3 linked regions of the Arabidopsis thaliana genome follow. The protein of the gene in region 3 interacts with the protein of the main gene of each other region in a pairwise test. Each region holds a gene or a part of one and is shown on either strand. Other genes may lie near its edges. The genes, in order: KNAT6, KNAT2 and ATH1.

Region 1 (7,690 bases), on a different chromosome or scaffold from region 3:
TTAGAGCAACCAATAGTTTGCAAGTACCTTTAAGATGAAAATGACTTTCTCTAGTCTTTGAGAAAAAAAATAAAAACAGAAACAAAGTTTATATTAAAGTAGTATGAAAGAACATGCCACTTTCTTGATTGAAAATTATATGATAGACGTAAAAAGCTGTCGACAAAACTAAAAGAATAGTTCCATTCGAAATATTATAGATGCTCTCGTTCTATTTTCTTTTTGGTTAAAGTGCTCGTTTTTTTCTTGATACTCTCTTTAAATTACGGCCAATTTCATAATTTCAAACTTAATACATATGTAAAATCATTAAATATACCAAATTATGCTTATGTCTATTTTTGTGAATAAATTACATAGTTCATTTTCATAAGCTAAAGTCATCATGAATATCAGCATCATCAATTTTGGCATAAATTTCATAAATCATAAATTAGCTAAGACCATTGATTTTGCAGCTCCTATACGCCTAGACCAGCGTTTATTTTATTCTTAGTTTTATCCACAAACTTGCTTTATACAGAACTATTCTAAAGTAAACACTAGCTGATACTATATACTAATTTAATCTTAATTAGACGATTTTCCATTAGGGCCTTCTTATCTACTATCTAGGAACGGACCTTCGCTTCTCGAAACCCATTTCATCCCGTACAATCGAAGTGTCCAACATCCGAGTTGGTAAAAAATTTCTTACTACGTAGTAGGTACTAAGAATCACTTATCATATCCATATATTCTTCACATTTGATTTATTTCATACCATCATTTGAATATATATGTGTTGATTATCATTTTGTTAGTAGTCGTGTTCGATAATTTTGTTCTGTATCTAGCAACAAATTTACAGTGACAAGTATTAAAATAATACCGCTCTTTAACTATATATATGTATGTATCAGCTCACTAGTTGTTTGTAACCAGTTCTTGTTTTTCCAGTTTGATATATTCGATTCAACATACCCAAAACATCTCTCATATACTGAACTAATATCTATTTCTAATTGACTCGATTCAATATCATTAGTACTATATTATCTTCTGATATGCGACTTCATTTGTTTTCTTTCTTCTGTTCGGTTTTCCACTTGTTGTTTAACATTTTCACCTTGTTTCACTATTTGCAATCAAATAAACGATTTATGTAGGTGTATCTATATATGTTCTTAGGATCATAATAAAAATATATTTTCTACAAAGTTTTTCGAAAATATATATACATTGGGGATTATTTTTTTAACTGTCTACAGCTCACACATGCATATTATCATATTTGAATGAAGATAACGATACAATGCCGATACTGATACAAATCATTATGTTAGATGCTCAATTTGTTTCTATAGGTCCTATAATATATACATCAAGTCATCAACTATACTTTTTGAAAAGAAAATTACACAGAGCTTTCAAATAAGTTGCGTGTAGTTTAGTGGTTATATGTACTAGTAGTTATGTTACCATCTAAGTGTATTGTCGATGAGAAAAAAAAGAGTTCAAATAAACTGACATAGTATGCTGGTAAATAATCACACTTTTTCCGTTTTTTCCATTTCGTTTTCAATAATATATAATTTTGTTTCTCGCCATGTTTCATTGATATTAAAAATCTCATGATCATGCAAATTCTATCATAACACAGCCTTGGACCTTTCTTAGATATATATGTTAGGAAGGCCTTATCTCGACCTATGAAGCCTGAAGCTCCATTGAGCCTTTTAGCATATGTCCTTTTTCGTAATTATCATTTTATTTTTCTTCTCCGTTAACTTTCATATCTTTTTTCTTCCAAAAGAAAATAAATTAAGATCCCTCGAGCCTCTCTCTCTCTCTACACACTCCCATAGAAATAAATATTTTCAAGAACCAAAAAGTTTGTTATAAGCGGTTTCATATTATTCTTCTTCATCGATTCTTGATTTTGCAAGAAGACAATTCAAGAAAGCGATTTAGAAGACGGAGGAGTTCTTACCGGAGATCTTATACTTATGGATGGAATGTACAATTTCCATTCGGCCGGTGATTATTCAGATAAGTCGGTTCTGATGATGTCACCGGAGAGTCTCATGTTTCCTTCCGATTACCAAGCTTTGCTATGTTCCTCCGCCGGTGAAAATCGTGTCTCTGATGTTTTCGGATCCGACGAGCTACTCTCAGTAGCCGTCTCCGCTTTGTCGTCGGAGGCGGCTTCGATCGCTCCGGAGATCCGAAGAAATGATGATAACGTTTCTCTAACTGTCATCAAAGCTAAAATCGCTTGTCATCCTTCGTATCCTCGCTTACTTCAAGCTTACATCGATTGCCAAAAGGTGATCGTTAACTCTTTCTTTTTTTATCACTTAGATAAAATCTAGGTTTTACTTTTTAAAGATAAAGATAAGATTGAGAAGCTTTGATATTTGATTGTTTTTTTTATAATTTTATGGTTTAACAATTTCATAATTTAGAAACAGGTCGGAGCACCACCGGAGATAGCGTGTTTACTAGAGGAGATTCAACGGGAGAGTGATGTTTATAAGCAAGAGGTTGTTCCTTCTTCTTGCTTTGGAGCTGATCCTGAGCTTGATGAATTTATGGTCTCTCTCTTTTTTTCCCTCGATTTTTTTTCGGATTTTTATTTTTGTTAAAATATTTTTTTTTGGAAATTTTTGTACTTAAGAAGATAATTTATTATCAGGAAACGTACTGCGATATATTAGTGAAATACAAATCGGATCTAGCAAGACCGTTTGACGAGGCAACGTGTTTCTTGAACAAGATTGAGATGCAGCTACGGAACCTATGTACTGGTGTCGAGTCTGCCAGGGGAGTTTCTGGTATGTCTTAAATTATCCCTCTCTGGTTCGGTCTTTTAGTGGTTCTATTTTGTGGTTAGTTCTGAATGATTTCTTTTGATCTTTTCCGTGGTTTTTCATTAATAATATCCTTTCCTCGATATTTCCATAGGGTTTTGATTCATATGACCAGTTTCTGAAAAATGATTGGTAGCTTGTTGATAGAATAACCCTAGGCTTTTGAAGTGATCAGAAAGCAAAATAGATAAAAAATGAAAAAAAAGAAGATAAACCCTAGCTACAAGTTTCATTTCCATAGCTATTTTTCCCTTGATGGGTTTTGTTTTGTGTGTGCTTTTCTTTTGGGCACGTTGAAACTCTGGAGACAAAGATCTGTTTAAGGTGTTGTGCAATTATTTTACTCGTTCATTTAATGTTTTAGCCATGGGATTAGGGTGTTGGAGTGTGGTGGGGATTTCCTCTTCTTCTTGTTGTTGATCTTTGTGCTAATCATACAAATTTTACTTTATATCTTTTTCTCTTCTTTCTCTGTCAGAAAGAAAATGGTGTAGAAAGCAATAAACTTTTGTGGTAGAGATTCTGATTTTGACGTTTCAGAGGCTTGTTGCGTACTGAATGTTTTTTCAACTTGTTGCTTTTTTCTAGTGAAAAACCAATTGACAGAAAAACCTAGTCATAACTTTTTAACAATATGTGTAGTTGATTTTTCATGAGCTTCTTTTGCTTCACTTCTCGTTTAACAATAAGTAAGTATAAGTACTAGTCATAACTCATAAGTCGCTTCACTCTTGTTTATGGGTAACAACCTTATTAGGTTACCAGTTTTTCTAAGACTTCAACTTCTTTTGGTCAGATGATTATTAATAACCAATAAGCCATAAGAGTTATTAGCTGTAATTCCTCTTTAAGCTCATTCACAGATTCTCTGGATCGGAATTAATAAGCGTGTTTAGATAATTTTACGATTAAATTTCTGTTATATCTTAATAACACACCATATAATTTTTCTATCTAATTAAATAGGTTAAAACAATAAAGTTAAAATTGTATTTTAAATTTAATATAGAAGTCTACAAAACGACATTCTTTGTGAAATAAAAATTTAATCCTGAATTCGACATTTATTATGAAGAACGTAACTTTGGTCTATTTCAAGTTTCAATGATCTGAGAACAAGAGTAGGGAGATTTTTGTTGATCATCGGAAATAGTATCATTGCCAAGTGGCCACTCTTATCTGCATGTTCTTGTTGGAGTCTTGTTGGACTTATATGTAAGTAATAAACCAAAACTGACTCAATTTTGAAGCGATTTAAAAGTCTAGGTTTTATGCTTATACATGAATGAAATGCTTCAAATAAGTGACTTTCTTTGTGGTTTACTGATATTATCTCTTTAGACCACATATTGTACTACAACTAGCAAAAACATTGTGGCCATAACAAATCAACCGATCAGGTTAGCTAGAAATACTGATCCTTAGGAGTTTTTTTTTTAATACAATAAAATAGAAGAAAAACTCCAGCTGAAAGAGTTAGCTGTAAAGAAATGAAACTCCATAGATTGGTAGACTTTTTTTCAGCTTTGCAGGAGTTTTCCATTATCGTGGTCGATCTCAAATGCAGGTTCCACTTGTACTTTGGTAATATTGTTTATTGGGGGAAAAAAGCTGCTGATATATAAAAACATATCAGCTTATCTTTATAAACTAATCGAGAGTTAGCATAGAGTATCAACTGGAAAAGTTGAAAATAGATCGATGCAGGTTTTCCATAATGGACGAATGTTTATGATTAATAATTTTAAAATTTGTTCAAAGTACAACTTGCCTTTTTGAATGATCTCATCTGTTTTTTTTTTCTTTGGTTGTGTGCTTTATTTAACCATCTTTTTCTTTCACCTGAATGAAATCATAAACTAATAAAGAAAAAAGAAGCTTACAATTGTTAGACAATATTCACATGGGATGCGATGTTATCTACTAGTTTCTCAGTTCAATCACATGCTTGGTTTCTTTCATGTTGATCTGATTTAGTAATACAAGTTGATCACATAGACTTTTGATTTCTCACTTCTTGGTTGTTGTGATACGGTAATGCAACTTAGCGAAAGCCCTTCTTTGGACTAGCTAAAAAAGCAACACATTCTTTTCTTCTAATGCGTGGTTATCTTGCTACTTAGAGTGGATGGTCTCTTATTGACTTTTATAGTCAACATTTGTCTTGTTGCATGCAATATCATCAATGTTACATGTTTGCATATTTGATCTAGAAGATAAGAATACTGCAACGAGAAGAATAGGAACATAGTGCATGATTAGCTTGAATTAGAGGTTCTTTTGGTTTTTGTTATAAAGTAAAAGGTGGAAAAGTCACATGGACTCCCGTGGATTCCGCTAATGACCCCACCAACTTTCTCTCCTAAGATTTTATTTTTGATTTGGTTATTAAAAAAAAAAGGAGACATAGGGTTCTCTACACACCACAATCAAATCATCTATAAGACTGCGACTATGCTTCTTCTCTATCTTTCTCAACTCTTTTGCCATGCCCTCTGGTTGCGTTGTTCCCTTGGTGGGTCGTATTATGTCTCTCTGAGGCACGCTACTAGCACGTGTCTACTTGCATGTTACCTTCTTCAGTGAACCCTATTTTCAAAGCAGTCAATGCATTGCTGAAAATGTAAATAATAATCCCAACCATACAAACTATCGTTTTTTGCCATTAAACTGTTACCCTAACTACTCATATGTGTGTAATGTGAACGTAATGGTCTCTATAATATATGATCAGTTCATGTTTTATGCATTTTAGTATATTTTTATTGGCCTATTTAACATCTCTATTTCCTTCATAATTACTGTGGCTGCTGTAGAAATCTTTTAACTTTTATAATATGTTTATAAAACTGACTGAATTGCGTGAATTATAAATTGACTGAAATTACCTTGGCTGTTGTAGAAATCTTTTAACTTTTTTTAATATATGTTTATAAACTGACTGAAATTGCGTGTATATATTATGTAGTCCAGTATTTTGTGTGACTGACTAAATATTTTGACTAAGCACGGTTGCTTGGTCCGACTATATATTCTGTCACATAGGCAAAACTATTGTAAAATCAGGTAATGTTCTTGAATCGTCTTTGGGTTGAGTTTTGGTGTCAGAGAAGCTGGGTAAGTGGGTCAGTAGAGTCGTTGGGGCATATATATAAATGTCCAAATACATTAAAGAAAGAGAGAGAGAAAAGGAAATTGAGTTTTGGGGTATCGTGGAGAACATAAATGAGAGGTGTAGCGTTATTTCCGGGGGTTCACACAACCTCTAAATGGTATTTACACGTGTCATATTGAGATTGGGTAATTAGTAGGCCTAAGGGGGGATGTCTCCTCATGGGGACAAGACTATTAGTCCTCTCCTGACAAATGACAATGGAGGTAACTATTCACTGCGGCGGTTTTTTGACTGCTGCACTCAATCGTGTGCGTCCTCGATATTCTCTACCCCTTACCACTCTTTCTTCTTTCCCTTTTTTGCCCTCTTTAGCCACTTAGCCGTTTTAGCCGAGAAAGCCCATTTAAACTTTTTCATGGTAGTGAATAGTGATAATTCTGTTACATTTACTTGCTATAACCTATAACCATTCTCTGTCTTTGATGTCTTTGTATAGTGATAATTCTTGTGAATTTGGTGTAACAGAGGATGGTGTAATATCATCTGACGAGGAACTGAGTGGAGGTGATCATGAGGTAGCAGAGGATGGGAGACAAAGATGTGAAGACCGGGACCTCAAAGATAGGTTGCTACGCAAATTTGGAAGCCGTATTAGTACTTTAAAGCTTGAGTTCTCAAAGAAGAAGAAGAAAGGAAAGTTACCAAGAGAAGCAAGACAAGCTCTTCTTGATTGGTGGAATCTCCATTATAAGTGGCCTTACCCTACTGTAAGCAAAAGCAACACTTGCATGTTTTCCGACATAACTAACCACTACACTTATATATAAATGGGTGGTATGAATGTGTGTGTACACAGGAAGGAGATAAGATAGCATTAGCTGATGCAACGGGGTTAGACCAAAAACAAATCAACAATTGGTTTATAAACCAAAGGAAACGTCATTGGAAGCCATCAGAGAATATGCCTTTCGCTATGATGGATGATTCTAGTGGATCATTCTTTACCGAGGAATGAATTTATTTATGGTACTTATTTAACGTTGATTAAAAGATGGATGTATAATTCTGCCTTGCTTTGCCGACAAAGGAAAAAAAGAAAGAAAGAGTGAAGCATGGACGACACATGAAATGGATCTTACACTCACTCACATGTAGTAGAAGGAACAAGTCAAAATGCTTTGTAACTATTATTATCGGTGAATAAAAATAACCTCTTTTGTCTTCTCCGGACCTCTCGTGATATAGCTTTTACCCTCTTATTGGCAAAACGTTGAACAAACAAAATACTTAGATAGGTTAGATTTGTTTATTAACTATGTGTTTTTCAAAAATAATTATAAAATATCTTGTTATTTGTGTAAATCACACTAAATTAAACACATTCTTTTATTGACAGTTTAATCATCATGTACATTTTGCTAATTGTAGCCAAAAGTTTAGCTATCTAGCAATTGGAACCTTGTGCCCATAATCCAACCATCTCTGTTTAAATTTTGGGGTGGGTTTCAAATTATCCTTATTGGGCCTAAAATCGGCCCAATATTAAACTGAAACCAGACTTTTATCCAATCCGAGTAATCGGAACAAAACAACATGATCGTGTGAACCAACGGCCAAAAAATGGCGGCTCTACTCGGTATCGTCTCTCCTGTGACTTTCACCGGAAAGCACCCGGTAAATTCCCGATCGCGACGGAGAACGGTAGTAAAATGCTCGAACGAAC
Region 2 (7,733 bases), on a different chromosome or scaffold from region 3:
GAAAGAGAAACAACCAAAGGAGAGTATTAAGACCTGGGATTCCCAAAATAAATAAATAAAATCCATAAGAAGCTAAGTAATCTCCAATTTCAGTAACATTTCTAACAACAGAAACAAATTTGTTCAAAACCACATATTGATGATATGAGATACAAAAAAGAATGACAATAAACTCCTACAAAGTTGAAGCAACCGAGTGGTACAATAATATATTAACAAAAACCTCAATACAAAGAATTGAAACCTAACAACACTAAATCACGGGAACAGTATGAACAATCCATGATGAAACATTCGAGTGGTACAATATTATCTTAGCAACATAATTATATGCACTTGATCTAATAATTTAGTCGTCACTTTTTGTTATTATTATTTTTTCTGCAAGACACACATTTTTTTTTTGCAATCATTTCTCGACGATAGTGATCATATAGATTATAGAAACTTGTGACCCCCCCCAAAAAATACAGAAAAGTTTAGAAACAATATAAATATGTGCTGTGAAGGCCACCGGTGGGGATTCAATACGATACGATCCAACGAAGTGAAATGAGAGAGAAGGAAAGTTCTGTCGTTTTTATAAGGTTTGATACTAAAACAAAGCTTTATGTCAGTTAAATTTCACACCAAAGTAGTCCGACGGATGTGTCAATCAAACCTGTCCATCATCAAAAAGACCTTTATGACATTTGTTTTTATTTTTTTTTGCGGAAAAAACGATATGGATCATCGGATCGGGTCTGGAGTAGACCCATGCAAAAATATAGTTTTTTTTCTTACAACAGGGTTTATAGATGGATTTTGGTTTATGACAAAAACTGCAGGTTCTGTTACTATATAAGGTAATGAAACATTTTGAGTTGATATTATACGCGACTAACAGATTCTCTATGAAAATAACAAGAAGTGCGATAAGTGGAGTGGCCACTATAAAAAATAGTTCCTAAGAGTGTGTTTAATTAGCAAATGACTGAAAGCAATTAAAAAACAAAAATTGTTTACTATGTTGTGATTGATAATGAGCACCTAGCTACCATAGACGTGTTTTACAGAGAAACAAAACTAGGTGAAAATTGAAAGAGTGAAATTGAAGTTGAACCGATCCGGTTAGACAACTAGAATCGTAGTAGCCTAGTAGGTGTCGGCCACCGTAATTGAAACAAAAAGCTTATTAATTAACAAAATTACCATCATTTGTTTTTACTGTCAAAATTCAAATTACCATCGTCTAACCTGTTTTTGTTAACAAGTACTAATTGTTGTCTTCATTAGCTAAGTCATAAATTCTAAAGGTTAGCGTGCTATTTTGATCATTTGTGCGATAATATTATATATCAAAAATAATCGTAACCATGTAATCGTACAGTTAAAAAAAGTGCTCTTGAATCACGAAGAAATCTTTTTATAATCACTCGAATCGTATTCCTTAACACATATGGCAAACCCTTGAAATCTTTCTTCTTTTATACTAGTACGACAAAATAAAATAAAAATTATGGTGTCTTTAAGAAAAACTTGTAAATTATCATAATAAACTATGAAAATTCATATTCGTGATTTTTTTTTTTTTTTGCTTTTCGTCACAAATCATTTTTTTTTTTTTTTGGTTTTTTGCTGAAATATTTACGATCATTGCCCTCAGACTACTATACTACGAGACCGCCTCAACTTGGCCAGTCTATCTATTTCCATTGTCTCTATCTCTCTCTCTCTTTGAAGCAGTTTGTTACTTCTTACTTTTGTGTTTCTTCATATTCTTCAGAAGCAAGCACAAGGCTAGGGATCGAAGAAGCGGCGATCACTGATCGTATCTCACTACGATCACATTAATGGATAGAATGTGTGGTTTCCGCTCGACGGAAGACTATTCGGAGAAAGCGACGTTGATGATGCCGTCCGATTATCAGTCTTTGATTTGTTCAACCACCGGAGACAATCAAAGACTGTTTGGATCCGACGAACTCGCTACCGCTTTGTCCTCGGAGTTGCTTCCGCGTATTCGAAAAGCTGAGGATAATTTCTCTCTTAGTGTCATCAAATCCAAAATCGCTTCTCATCCTTTGTATCCTCGCTTACTCCAAACCTACATCGATTGCCAAAAGGTGATCTCGCTGCTTTCGTGTTTTGTCTTTTCTTTTTCTTGTTGTGTATGATTTTGTGCTTTCAAGGTTAATTTGATTAAGCGTCAGGAATTTTACATGTATTCATCGTCGTATTTAAAGATAGTTCTCTTACTTTTTTTTTTCTATTCCACTTTAACCCTAAGATAAGATTGGAGAACTAGAGAGACTGTGTTTATATGTGAGAGTGATTTTTTTTTTTTTTTGGTTATTGATTGACAGGTGGGAGCGCCTATGGAAATAGCGTGTATATTGGAAGAGATTCAGCGAGAGAACCATGTGTACAAGAGAGATGTTGCTCCATTATCTTGCTTTGGAGCTGATCCTGAGCTTGATGAATTCATGGTTTCTCACTTTGTTCGTTGCCTTGAACTTTGATCTTCTAGTTTTTCTTAAAATATAATTTTGTTTTTTTGTGGTGTGATTCTAGGAAACCTACTGTGATATATTGGTTAAATACAAAACCGATCTTGCGAGGCCGTTCGACGAGGCTACAACTTTCATAAACAAGATTGAAATGCAGCTTCAGAACTTGTGCACTGGTCCAGCGTCTGCTACAGCTCTTTCAGGTCAGCACTAAAGTGATATCTATCTCTTGTTCGAGTGTACTTTTGATTTCTTGTTTCCTAGCTAGTGTTTTTATTGATCTTTGAGCACTATCCTCGGTTTGTGTGTCCTTTAAAATCCTTGCGCAAATTTCTCCTTACAGTTACAGATCTTGCGGATTAGAAAATCTATCCTCAGATAACTTTTCCTTTCTGTGCTTCAATGATCAGTTTCTTGGAATTGATGGAAAAATTGGAAATCTTCTACTGTTTTTTTTTTCCTTAAAGAAAACGAGAATCGATAAGTTGTTGTAGCTGAAACTAGGAGGAGCTTAGTAGATCCGGTTTAGACAACCCAAGGCAATAAAAGTCAGAAAAAAACAAGGAAACTCTAAAACCCTAGTTTTGTTAGAAAACAATGATTGATTCAGCCACATCTTTTATATTTGGTAGAAGTCATTCATGCTTTAGATAGATCCATGACCTTCACACATCTTTGTGACATTTATTTTCTATCATTAGCTATGGTTTAAGCTGTGGGGCGGATATTAGGGGAAAGCCGGTGGGTAGGATTTTCTCTGTTAGTGATATTTATTTTCCTAGTGATTTTGGTATGGTATACTTTTCTTTTGTTACTTTTATATATACTTGTATTATTATCTTCTCCTCTGTCAGAAGAAAATATGGGTCTATGAAAGCAAAAACTTTTGCGCTAGAGATTCTGATTTTGACGTTTCAGTGTCGTACTGGAAGTTTTTTAATTGCTTATTTCCAGTGAAAATTCAATCATAGAGAAAAAACCTAGTCATAACTTCCACTAATAAATGCCACTGATTTTTCTTGAGTTTGTCCTTGGCTTCATGTTTAGATCTCTAGTAGTATCGCTTGTTTTCATCTTCATTAAGAGACTGATGGGTAAAACAAAACTTTACTAGTTCTTGATTACTCCAACTTCTCTTGGTGAATGAACCAAAGTTTATACTACTTTTCCATAGAAAGTGTCAGACTTAAGTTTTATCCATGTCACTTTAGTTTTTACTATTAGAGAGATAAAAATTTATTGTGTATAATGAGTATAACATAAGATTGATTTGTTTTCTTAGTGTATGTGAAAATTAATGACACTAGCCCTTATTTTTGAATACATTGTATTTGCACCTAAGGGTCTTACATTTGAAGTCCACTGTGTTCAAATTACATGTACAAAATCATTGGTGTGATTAATTTTCACGAACCTATCTGACTTAGTAAACCAAAGAAGTGTCTTGATCAGGTCAAATAGTTGGATTTTGTGTTTCTTTAGCTCGAAAAAGCTAAACCAAATCTCTGTTGGATTTCAGTTAATCTGAGCTCATGCGCATGTAAGTCCATAAAAATGCTTGATGGCCAAGAGGCTTGTATATTCTGCATGTCGTGGTTAATGTGTCTGTTATTCTTGTATTCTTGTTGGAATTTTATGTGAATAAATAAATGATTGAAATGCATTAAGACACTTACACAATGTAAGTGAGGTTTACTAATTTGCCGAGGTATTAAACTAAACTTAATGGTACCTTCTTTTCCACCATTTGTTTTCTTAATTAAGCAGAATAGAACTTTGTAAGTATTTTACAAGCAGCCCAAATAAGGAATAGTAGGTTTCTTAAAAGAATGTAATTTTAGTTGTCTTTGTGTTGTTTTTGTAGCTTATATTGGTTAAACCTTTCCAACAGGGCAAAAATTAGTTTCTTGTTAATCTACACTAATCTACTTAGCCACGTTCATGTTGTCAGAATACGTGTGTATATTTTTTATAAGTAAAGTATTTCACTATCTTAGGGATTTTAAAGTAATCATTTTACTTCTTCATCTCCACCTGATAAGAACTAGCTGGAAAAAAATTGGAACTACAATATAGTGGAATTCAGCTTTAATAGTCTTCTTTTTCTTATATGTTGATATCAAATGCTGCTTCGGTTGTACTTTGTTAGCATTGTTTAATTCCGAAAAGTTGTTAATACTTATCAGCGTACTTAATTAATTGGAGTTTACATAGGGAATAATCTTGTCCAAAAGGTTGAAAAACAGATCACTTGCAGCTTGAATTTATCTTTATTGGACGAATGTTTAGTTTTTTAATGGTTTTGAAGTACCACTTACCTTTTTAGCGTAATCTCATGTATGATTTTGAAGGAATATATATTACCTTATGAACATCTTTTCCTTGGTCAATACCTTTTTCTGTTTCTTAAGTCCCGAGAAAGGACTTTCTTTTCAACTGAATATCTTAAACTAATAGTATAACTCATAATATGTAGTTTTCAGAGTCATGTGCTTTTGGTTTCTTTTCGTGCTAATATGCTTTAGGAATAAACCAAATCCTCTTTAGTCAACTGATGTTTGTCATAGCAATTGTGTTTACTTATTTTTTTCGTTCTCGCTTTAGTGTGCAATTGACCCTTTTCGTGATTAAGATGGTCAATCTTGGCCATGGTTTTTGTTCCATCCTCATATTTTCTTCTAATCATTTGGTGTTCGGATGGTGTATTGATACAATGAGATCCATGTGCGATTTTGTATCCATATGTGGAATTTAGGACTATTGTTTAAGATTATTCACTACAGTCTACAACTAGTATTTTTGTGTTGTAAAATGCATTCACCCTAGGTCCCTATGCATTCACCCTAGATATATCTTTGGCTGTGAATGATATTCTATTCATTCAATGTTCGTAGGAAACTCGAAAAGCATGTTCTTTTGAACAAAATACTCTGTCATGGCACATTAGTTACTTCACCAGTTCTAGACATGATAATACTGATAATCTGTTTGGTTATATCACCTTCGTTGATAGAATGGTCCTTTTGACACGCACAAAAAAACACACCCAAATGCTTGAATTAGAAATCTTTTAGCCCTTTTTAATTTCTAAATAGAAGAAGTTGGAGACAGAAGCATGAGGTGGTCAAGTGTCACATGGACTCCCGTGGATTACGTTGGTGGATCCCTTTATGACCCAATCGCAACACTCTCTTTTTAAGATTTGATTTGATTTTAAAGAAAAAGAAAGAGAAGAAAATAGGGGAGAGACATGGGTTTTGATTTATGTACAATGCAATCATCTTACGACTAATGTTTCTCCACATCTTTTTCTACTGTTGCTTAGTGGTTGTCATTTCCTCTCTGCGTTTGTTCCCTTAATGGGCCATGCAATTTCCACGTGTTTAACTTTTTTTGGGAGATGTACAAGTCTATCTACTTTTTTTTTATCAGTGCATGTTGTCTCTTTCGCATTGTCTTGATGTTATATAGGAACCAAATTCGGCTAATAGGTAAAGAACAAACCGAGTTACTATTGCACATACCATCCTCAACTAGCAAAGTTTTCATGGATAGGGTGTGAACTATATTTTGTGTGATTTGTCTAAGGATCAGCTCATTAGTGGTGTAGCAAACTACAACCTAAACTCTTTAGGGAGACTTTGAAACGATGTCTTTCTGTAATCACTAAGTTGAGAATACTAAGTGAAATTTCTATTAATGCAAATAATTTGACCATTAATCATGTTTAAACTCCCTTAATTAGGCTCCCTTTTAGTCGCAGTAACATAGGGGTCAGTATGGTATGGTCATAAATGGGGCATTATGAGAAAGTTCATAAATGTTGGGGAAGCGTTTTTTCCGGGGGTCACTCAAACAAGTGTCAGAAAGGTGATACGTGTCGTGACTCAGGTGGCTAGTGGTAAGTCCCAAAGGAGCACGTCAGTGGCAATGGAAGCTAAACTATTCAGTGACTGCGAAAGTTTTTGACTGATCATTTTTGTGCCCGGGTCTTGTAAAACCTCGATATTATCTCGCTATCCTTGTTTTTCCCCTTTTACCCCTTTCTTTCACCCTTTTTTTTTTTTTTTTTTCCTTTCTTTCACCCTTGTTCTCTTCTCTATGCTTTTTTGGCTCTTTTCTTCTTTTAGCTGCTTTAGCCACTTAGTCATTTAGCCGAGCCTACTAGTATCTTAGTGTTAGCTATGTTTGTTAGTGTTGGCATAGTGGTAGAATTTGCTTTCTACATTGTCAAATATGCTACCATAAATAGCACCACCATACATTCTCCTAGTACATTTTATCGGTATGGCACGTATTTGGCTAATACGTGGGAGCTAATCATTATTGAATCTTCTGTATGACATTATTCTCATGTATGAGCAGATGATGGTGCGGTTTCATCTGACGAGGAACTGAGAGAAGATGATGACATAGCAGCGGATGACAGCCAACAAAGAAGCAATGACCGCGATCTGAAGGACCAGCTACTACGCAAATTTGGTAGCCATATCAGTTCATTGAAACTCGAGTTCTCTAAAAAGAAGAAGAAAGGGAAGCTACCAAGAGAAGCAAGACAAGCGTTGCTCGATTGGTGGAATGTTCATAATAAATGGCCTTACCCTACTGTAAGTGTCTTTCTGATTCCACCGTAACCTAGCATACACTCATTAATTTATTTCTTCGACATATTAATATCCGCCTCTCGAATGTGTATAGGAAGGCGACAAAATATCTCTGGCTGAAGAAACAGGTTTGGATCAAAAACAAATCAACAATTGGTTTATAAACCAAAGGAAACGCCATTGGAAGCCTTCGGAGAACATGCCGTTTGATATGATGGACGATTCTAATGAAACATTCTTTACCGAGTAATGAAAAGAGAGACATGAAATTGTGCATTGTATAATTTTTACACTGTTTTTCCAAGAAAAGAAAACAGTAAAAAGCTTTTGGTAAATGGGGCATCATCGCGAATGAATGGAACCCGTTAGCCAAAACGGTCAAGGGCGTAACGAGACATTGTATTGGAAATAGTGGCAATATTATGTCACTAATCTTCCAATCATCCAAATTGATAGATTTCTTATTTGTATTGAACCTTACTTAGATAGCTGATGTGTCAACTAAATAATTTATTTTCATTATCCATTCGGGTAGAAGAATTCATTATCCATTCGAATTTTGTGACTATTTGGCTCGGTTTCGGAGCCGGATTTTTCGGATCGGTTTTTGGATTTCGGATTTTATGCCCAGCCCTACTTA
Region 3 (5,671 bases):
TGGATGGGTGGTGATAGAGATGGAAATCCAAATGTCACGGTAAAGGTGATAATGAGGGCTTGCTTTCTACATTACTTTTTTAGGGTTAGAATTTTGCTGGTCACTCAACTTGCTAACACACTTTGCTGGTCATTAAGAGTGAGTCCTTGATTTCTATGTAAAGATTAACTTGCTAACACACTTGGTTTTATCAATAAATTTCTTGTTCACAGAAGGAGTATTGCATATGTTTAGGTGGATGGCTATCGATCTTTACGTAAGAGCGATTGACATCTTAAAATTATACGCCGCTCTGAGAATGAATGTGTGTTTTCTGACCCTCAAGTGCTTCAGACACTGAGAATGAATGTGTGTTTTCTGATCCTCAAGTGCTCGACTTCTATATTAATTCGAAAGGAGTTAAGATCAAGTAGATTGTTGAACCTCAGTGAACTAGTTAATGCCCTCTGTGATCATTTATTCCCATTTTGCTTAGTCTGCCTATATATAATTCTAAGTCAATGAACTTGTATAATATTCTAAGCAAGACATCAGTAGCATATAGTATAAGTTGATACACAATAATTAAGCCAAATGACTTGGGAAATTATACGACTTCAGATAAAAAGCGCTCTAGTCTATGGAGTAGATTAAGCATCTGCTGGTGCTGGAGTCGATAGGCTCCATAGCCAACGTACATTTTGTTTCATTTTAGAAAAAGCATTACAAGTTCTTGTTTGGACTATCAGACAACAAAAAAAAGTAACTTTTATAATTCGCCTAGGACCCAAAAGTTATGAGCACGGGTCTAATAGTCTAACATTAATAAGTGTTATTGATTAAGATCGTAGGCATGATTAAAGATGCATTCCAGCTTCAGTTAATAGTCGGTACTATAGTTCCTAGTGTTATTGATACTATTCTGCTTTACTAAATCAAAATTTCAAACTATTAAATAATATAGACTTGTAAGCAAACAATAATAAGGATATGATATCAATAATTATCGATTTCTATTGAAAATAATTTTGTCCTATACGAACAACAATAACTGTTTCACCAAATCAATATCCAATTTTGCTTGGAGTGGCCATGCAAGATACTTGTCCTTGACCCTTTTCTTTGTCTCATACCAGCTTAGAAAGTCATTGTTTAGGCAAGTACCATTAACATTATTTAAAATACAGATCAAGTCACGCTAATACAGATCAAATCAAGTACCATTAGATTTTCTTCTTCTTTTGGTTGTAATAAAGAAGAGCATAATTTCAGATGTTGCAATCTATATAGTCTACGAGTAATAGAGTTCAATTCCATCATCATTAGCCATGATAATAAAGACGTAACACATAACGACACATTGAACTTAAAATAAATAAATAAATAAATAAAAATGATAAGAAAGGAACAATCAAAGAAAAGGCCAAGCAAATTGATTGATATTTTTGTAAAGCTTACGTAAAAAACTTATATGAAAAAAATACGTAAATGGATATAAGATTTGATGGCACAATACAAAGACACGAGTGGTGAGAAAAGAAAGAAGAAAAAGCAAGAACCCAAATGGATCACACATCTCATCAATTCTCCTTAAATGGCTAAAAAAGATCTCACCCTTCTTTACTTTTTTCCCTCTTTCTGATTTGTGATAATTGAAACCAGCACAAGAAGACAACACCATTTTCTTATAACTTTATAAAATTTTATAAATAGAGACACATACATATATATATATATAGAGACATGTAAATAGTAAAATGTAGGGTCTCTTCCCTAATTTAAAGCCTGCAACAGAAATGAGTGCACTTCTCTGTAGTAAACAGTAACACATCGGTCTTCTTCATGTCTTTGGATTTCTTTTTTGGATTTCGATTCTGTTTCAACCATATATTTTCTTTAGATAATTTTACTAGATTCATCTCTTTCTCTATGAACAACATTTTAAATAAATGACATTTTAAGAAAGTGATTATATATAAGATTTTCTTGATTCTGATTTATCTTTTTTTTTGGTCGGAAGATCTTAAAGATATGAAAATGGATTCGTGTCATAAACAGAGGCAGCTCCGTACGTGATTTGGCCCTCCTTCTTTTCAACTTCTTCTTTCTTGAATATTAAAGTTGTATTTTTCCCCTCGATAATACAACTTTTGGTTTGTTTATTTAGTTATAAAATGTTGCTATTTGTTGATCTAGTGCTCTGAATCTTTTAGTGAGGCAGATGATGAAGATTATGAATTTCTTCATGAAATTATTGTAAGAAAAAGTAAGTAATTTTTTTTGTAAGTGTTTGCGTTCATGCAAAAGAGATTAATCAGACCCACTTTTCTCTTTTTCAGTTTTGTTGCATTATTTTGTTCTCTTTAATTTATGAATACTAACTTTATTGTTGATTTCTGCTTTTTGGTTCTCTTTAGGAACATAGAGAAGCTGCGGAATGAAAGTACACTGTTCTTTCACGGAGAAAGAAGATAAATAAGCATTATCTTCTTCTTCAGTTTTTAACACACATTTTGGAAATTTTGATGTAAAAATTCTCTTTGGAACGTTGTGTTGTCTGAAATCTTCCCAAAGGTTCTATCAGAAGAAGAAGGATAAAGGCAAGTTTCAACATTTTTAATGTTCTATGGACATTTGTAGTAATCTAAAGCTTTCTTTTTTACTTATTAGTTCACTGTTTATCACAGATAGCTTTGAGATATTATTGGTCTGTGTATCATTGAGCCTAGTTACGGCTTCATTAACTCATGTTTCGGTTCTTTATATATTTTAATGAAATATTTAATGACATAGTGAGCGATGTTCTCTGTCTCTTGCAGCATTTTACATTTAGTACTATTCTCCAAAGATTTGGTTTCTTAGATTTTCTGAAATCTTTTGTCTAAGTCTTAAATACTTGTCTTCTTTGGTAATGCAGTTTCATAGAAACCCAATGGACAACAACAACAACAACAACACTTTTAGTTCTCTGGATAATGTCATGACTAACCAAAATCCTCTTCTCATGGATTTTATACCTTCAAGAGAAGATTCAACTTCATTCTCAACAATGCTTCCATGGAATACCATCAGATCAGATCCTCTACAAATGGGTGGCTTTGATATTTTCAATTCTATGCTGACTAACAAATACTTATCATCTTCTCCACGGTCTATCGATGTTCAAGATAACCGCAATGTTGAGTTCATGGCTCCTCCTCCTCATCCTCCTCCACTTCATCCTTTGGATCATTTAAGACACTATGATGATTCCTCAAACAACATGTGGGGTTTTGAAGCAAATAGTGAGTTTCAGGCATTTTCAGGTGTAGTTGGTCCAAGTGAACCAATGATGTCTACATTCGGTGAAGAAGATTTCCCGTTTCTAATTTCGAATAAAAGAAACAATGAGCTTTCATTGAGTCTTGCATCAGATGTTTCTGATGAATGCTCGGAGATAAGTCTTTGTGCAGCTACAAGATTAGCCTCAGAGCAAGCTTCTTGCAGCAGCAAAGACATTTCTAATAACGTTGTTACTCAAGGTTTCTCTCAACTTATATTTGGCTCAAAATACCTTCACTCTGTTCAAGAAATACTATCTCATTTCGCCGCATACTCGCTCGATTATTCATCTCGAGGAACCGAGTCAGGAGCTGCTAGTTCAGCCTTTACTTCACGTTTTGAGAATATAACTGAGTTTCTTGATGGTGATTCTAATAACTCGGAGGCGGGTTTCGGATCTACATTTCAAAGGAGAGCATTAGAAGCAAAGAAAACCCATCTCTTGGATCTTCTTCAAATGGTATGTAATATATTCATTCACTTTTTTTGCATAAGTTAAAAAAATGGTTTGATATATATGATGAAGTTTTATGAGTTGATATTTCTCTTCAGGTGGATGATCGATATAGTCATTGCGTAGATGAGATTCATACGGTTATATCAGCGTTCCATGCTGCAACCGAGTTAGATCCACAGTTACACACCCGGTTTGCCCTCCAAACCGTTTCCTTCTTATACAAGAACCTGAGAGAGAGAATCTGCAAGAAGATAATCTCTATGGGATCTGTATTGGAGAGAGGCAAAGACAAGACTCAAGAAACCTCTATGTTCCACCAGCATTGCCTTCTTCAGCAGCTGAAACGAAAGAACCATCAGATTTGGAGACCTCAACGAGGTTTGCCTGAGAAATCTGTTTCGGTTCTACGGAATTGGATGTTCCAAAACTTCCTTCACCCGTAACAATCCTTACTCTTCTTAACTATCTACTTTATGATGATGACATTGTTAACTCGATTTTATAAGCAAAGTTATGTTTTATTTAATGCAGTTACCCGAAAGATTCGGAGAAACATCTTCTAGCTATACGAAGTGGCTTGACAAGAAGTCAGGTAATGTCTCATGTTTGTTTTCTTATGCAATGACTCATTGATAACAAGCTTTGTTTTCTTATGCAATGACTCATTGATAAGATCTTTGTTTTCTTATGCAATGACTTATTGATAACATCTTTGCTCACAATGATAGCAAATATGGTATTCAAATGAGTAATATATATCTTGACATACTAGTCATGTCTGAAAAACCGGTATTGGTTATTTTAAGATGAGATTAGGGCTAGGAAAAAATCAAGCTTTTCTCTTGAACTACAAATGAGACTAGATTATGTATTCTTGAATTCACAATAATGTTACTCAAGTCCTAGGATTGTAGTCGCACATATGTTTTGTTACTGAAGTAAGTTAAAGCGGGCAAATGATATAGAGTGTGTCTCTTTGTTGTGTGTGATTAAAGGTATCAAACTGGTTTATAAATGCGCGGGTTAGGCTATGGAAGCCGATGATAGAAGAGATGTATGCGGAAATGAACAAGAGGAAGCTCAATAACAGTCACATTCAACCCAACGGACCAACTCTTCGAATGCCAAAATCTGTTATGATGAGCCAAGCAATGCATAAATAAGACAACAATTGTGTTTACCAACTTTGTGATAATTAGGCAATTGCTACTCTATGATTGCCCAAAACCTAAACCATGTACGACTATCATTACGTATGTTATAATTGTATATACAACTCCTTTATCTTTGACTATTTCATTTTATTATCCTGTATTCTTATATCATAATTATCATCATCCTCATTAAACTTCATGATCACCATTTTTACGTAAAAATAAAATTAAGTTCATGAAAATATATAAAAAGTATGTAACCACTGAAGATTTATTTTCATATTTATTCAAACAAACTACAAAATACAAACCTAAAGTTTTATTTCACCGTTTGCATTTAACTTTTTTTCTCTTACAAGTGAGTTTTATTATTCCAAAAACTGAAATGAATAATGACGAAAATCTCCTAGCAAGCGACGTCGTATTTTGGTTTGACTTGAGAATCTTCGGTCAACTAATAAAAACGCAGCGTTTTCATCTGGTACGGACACAATTAGAAATAGAAAGTAGGAAAAGGAAGACACTTTGCTAAAACTGAGGAAGAAAGTGTAAAGACGGAGCCTTTTACGGCGAATGGAGGAAGACAGAGCCACCATGACCGGAGCTGTAGCCACTCGAGACTCGGTGGAACCCAGCGAAGACATACTCATATGCGTCGATGTTGATGCGGAATCGACGGTGGAGATGAAGACCACTGGAACTAACGGTAAGCCTTTGAACAGGCTCGAGTGCCTCAAGCTAGCCATTACTCGCTTTATCC

The links.
Region 1: the proteins of ATH1 (region 3) and KNAT6 interact in a two-hybrid assay, tested with the Arabidopsis thaliana proteins (one study listed by BioGRID).
Region 2: the proteins of ATH1 (region 3) and KNAT2 interact in a two-hybrid assay, tested with the Arabidopsis thaliana proteins (one study listed by BioGRID).

Annotation. Positions count from the first base shown.
Region 1 is NC_003070.9:8,296,791-8,304,480, reverse strand, and holds KNAT6 (homeobox protein knotted-1-like 6), read left to right. Parts: upstream 1-1,880; 5' UTR 1,881-1,988; coding exon 1,989-2,309; intron 2,310-2,447; coding exon 2,448-2,576; intron 2,577-2,677; coding exon 2,678-2,816; intron 2,817-6,492; coding exon 6,493-6,734; intron 6,735-6,823; coding exon 6,824-6,982; 3' UTR 6,983-7,190; downstream 7,191-7,690. Other genes in the region: MENG (S-adenosyl-L-methionine-dependent methyltransferases superfamily protein), read left to right, coding at 7,588-7,690. UniProt on the Arabidopsis thaliana protein: Plays a role in meristem function. Contributes to the shoot apical meristem (SAM) maintenance and organ separation by controlling boundary establishment in embryo in a CUC1, CUC2 and STM-dependent manner.
Region 2 is NC_003070.9:26,574,803-26,582,535, forward strand, and holds KNAT2 (homeobox knotted-like protein), read left to right. Parts: upstream 1-1,683; 5' UTR 1,684-1,832; coding exon 1,833-2,105; intron 2,106-2,345; coding exon 2,346-2,480; intron 2,481-2,553; coding exon 2,554-2,692; intron 2,693-6,854; coding exon 6,855-7,096; intron 7,097-7,187; coding exon 7,188-7,343; 3' UTR 7,344-7,629; downstream 7,630-7,733. UniProt on the Arabidopsis thaliana protein: May play a role in meristem function, and may be involved in maintaining cells in an undifferentiated, meristematic state. Probably binds to the DNA sequence 5'-TGAC-3'.
Region 3 is NC_003075.7:15,914,114-15,919,784, reverse strand, and holds ATH1 (homeobox protein ATH1), read left to right. Parts: upstream 1-1,631; 5' UTR 1,632-2,245; exon of another isoform or gene 2,246-2,396; 5' UTR 2,397-2,579; intron 2,580-2,896; 5' UTR 2,897-2,911; coding exon 2,912-3,760; intron 3,761-3,852; coding exon 3,853-4,196; intron 4,197-4,288; coding exon 4,289-4,349; intron 4,350-4,752; coding exon 4,753-4,920; 3' UTR 4,921-5,115; downstream 5,116-5,671. Other genes in the region: AT4G32970 (BRISC/BRCA1-A complex protein), read left to right, coding at 5,485-5,671. UniProt on the Arabidopsis thaliana protein: Transcription factor which may be involved in the signal transduction pathway downstream of the COP1 gene. Controls floral competency as a specific activator of FLC expression. Is responsive of the nuclear import of SHOOT MERISTEMLESS (STM).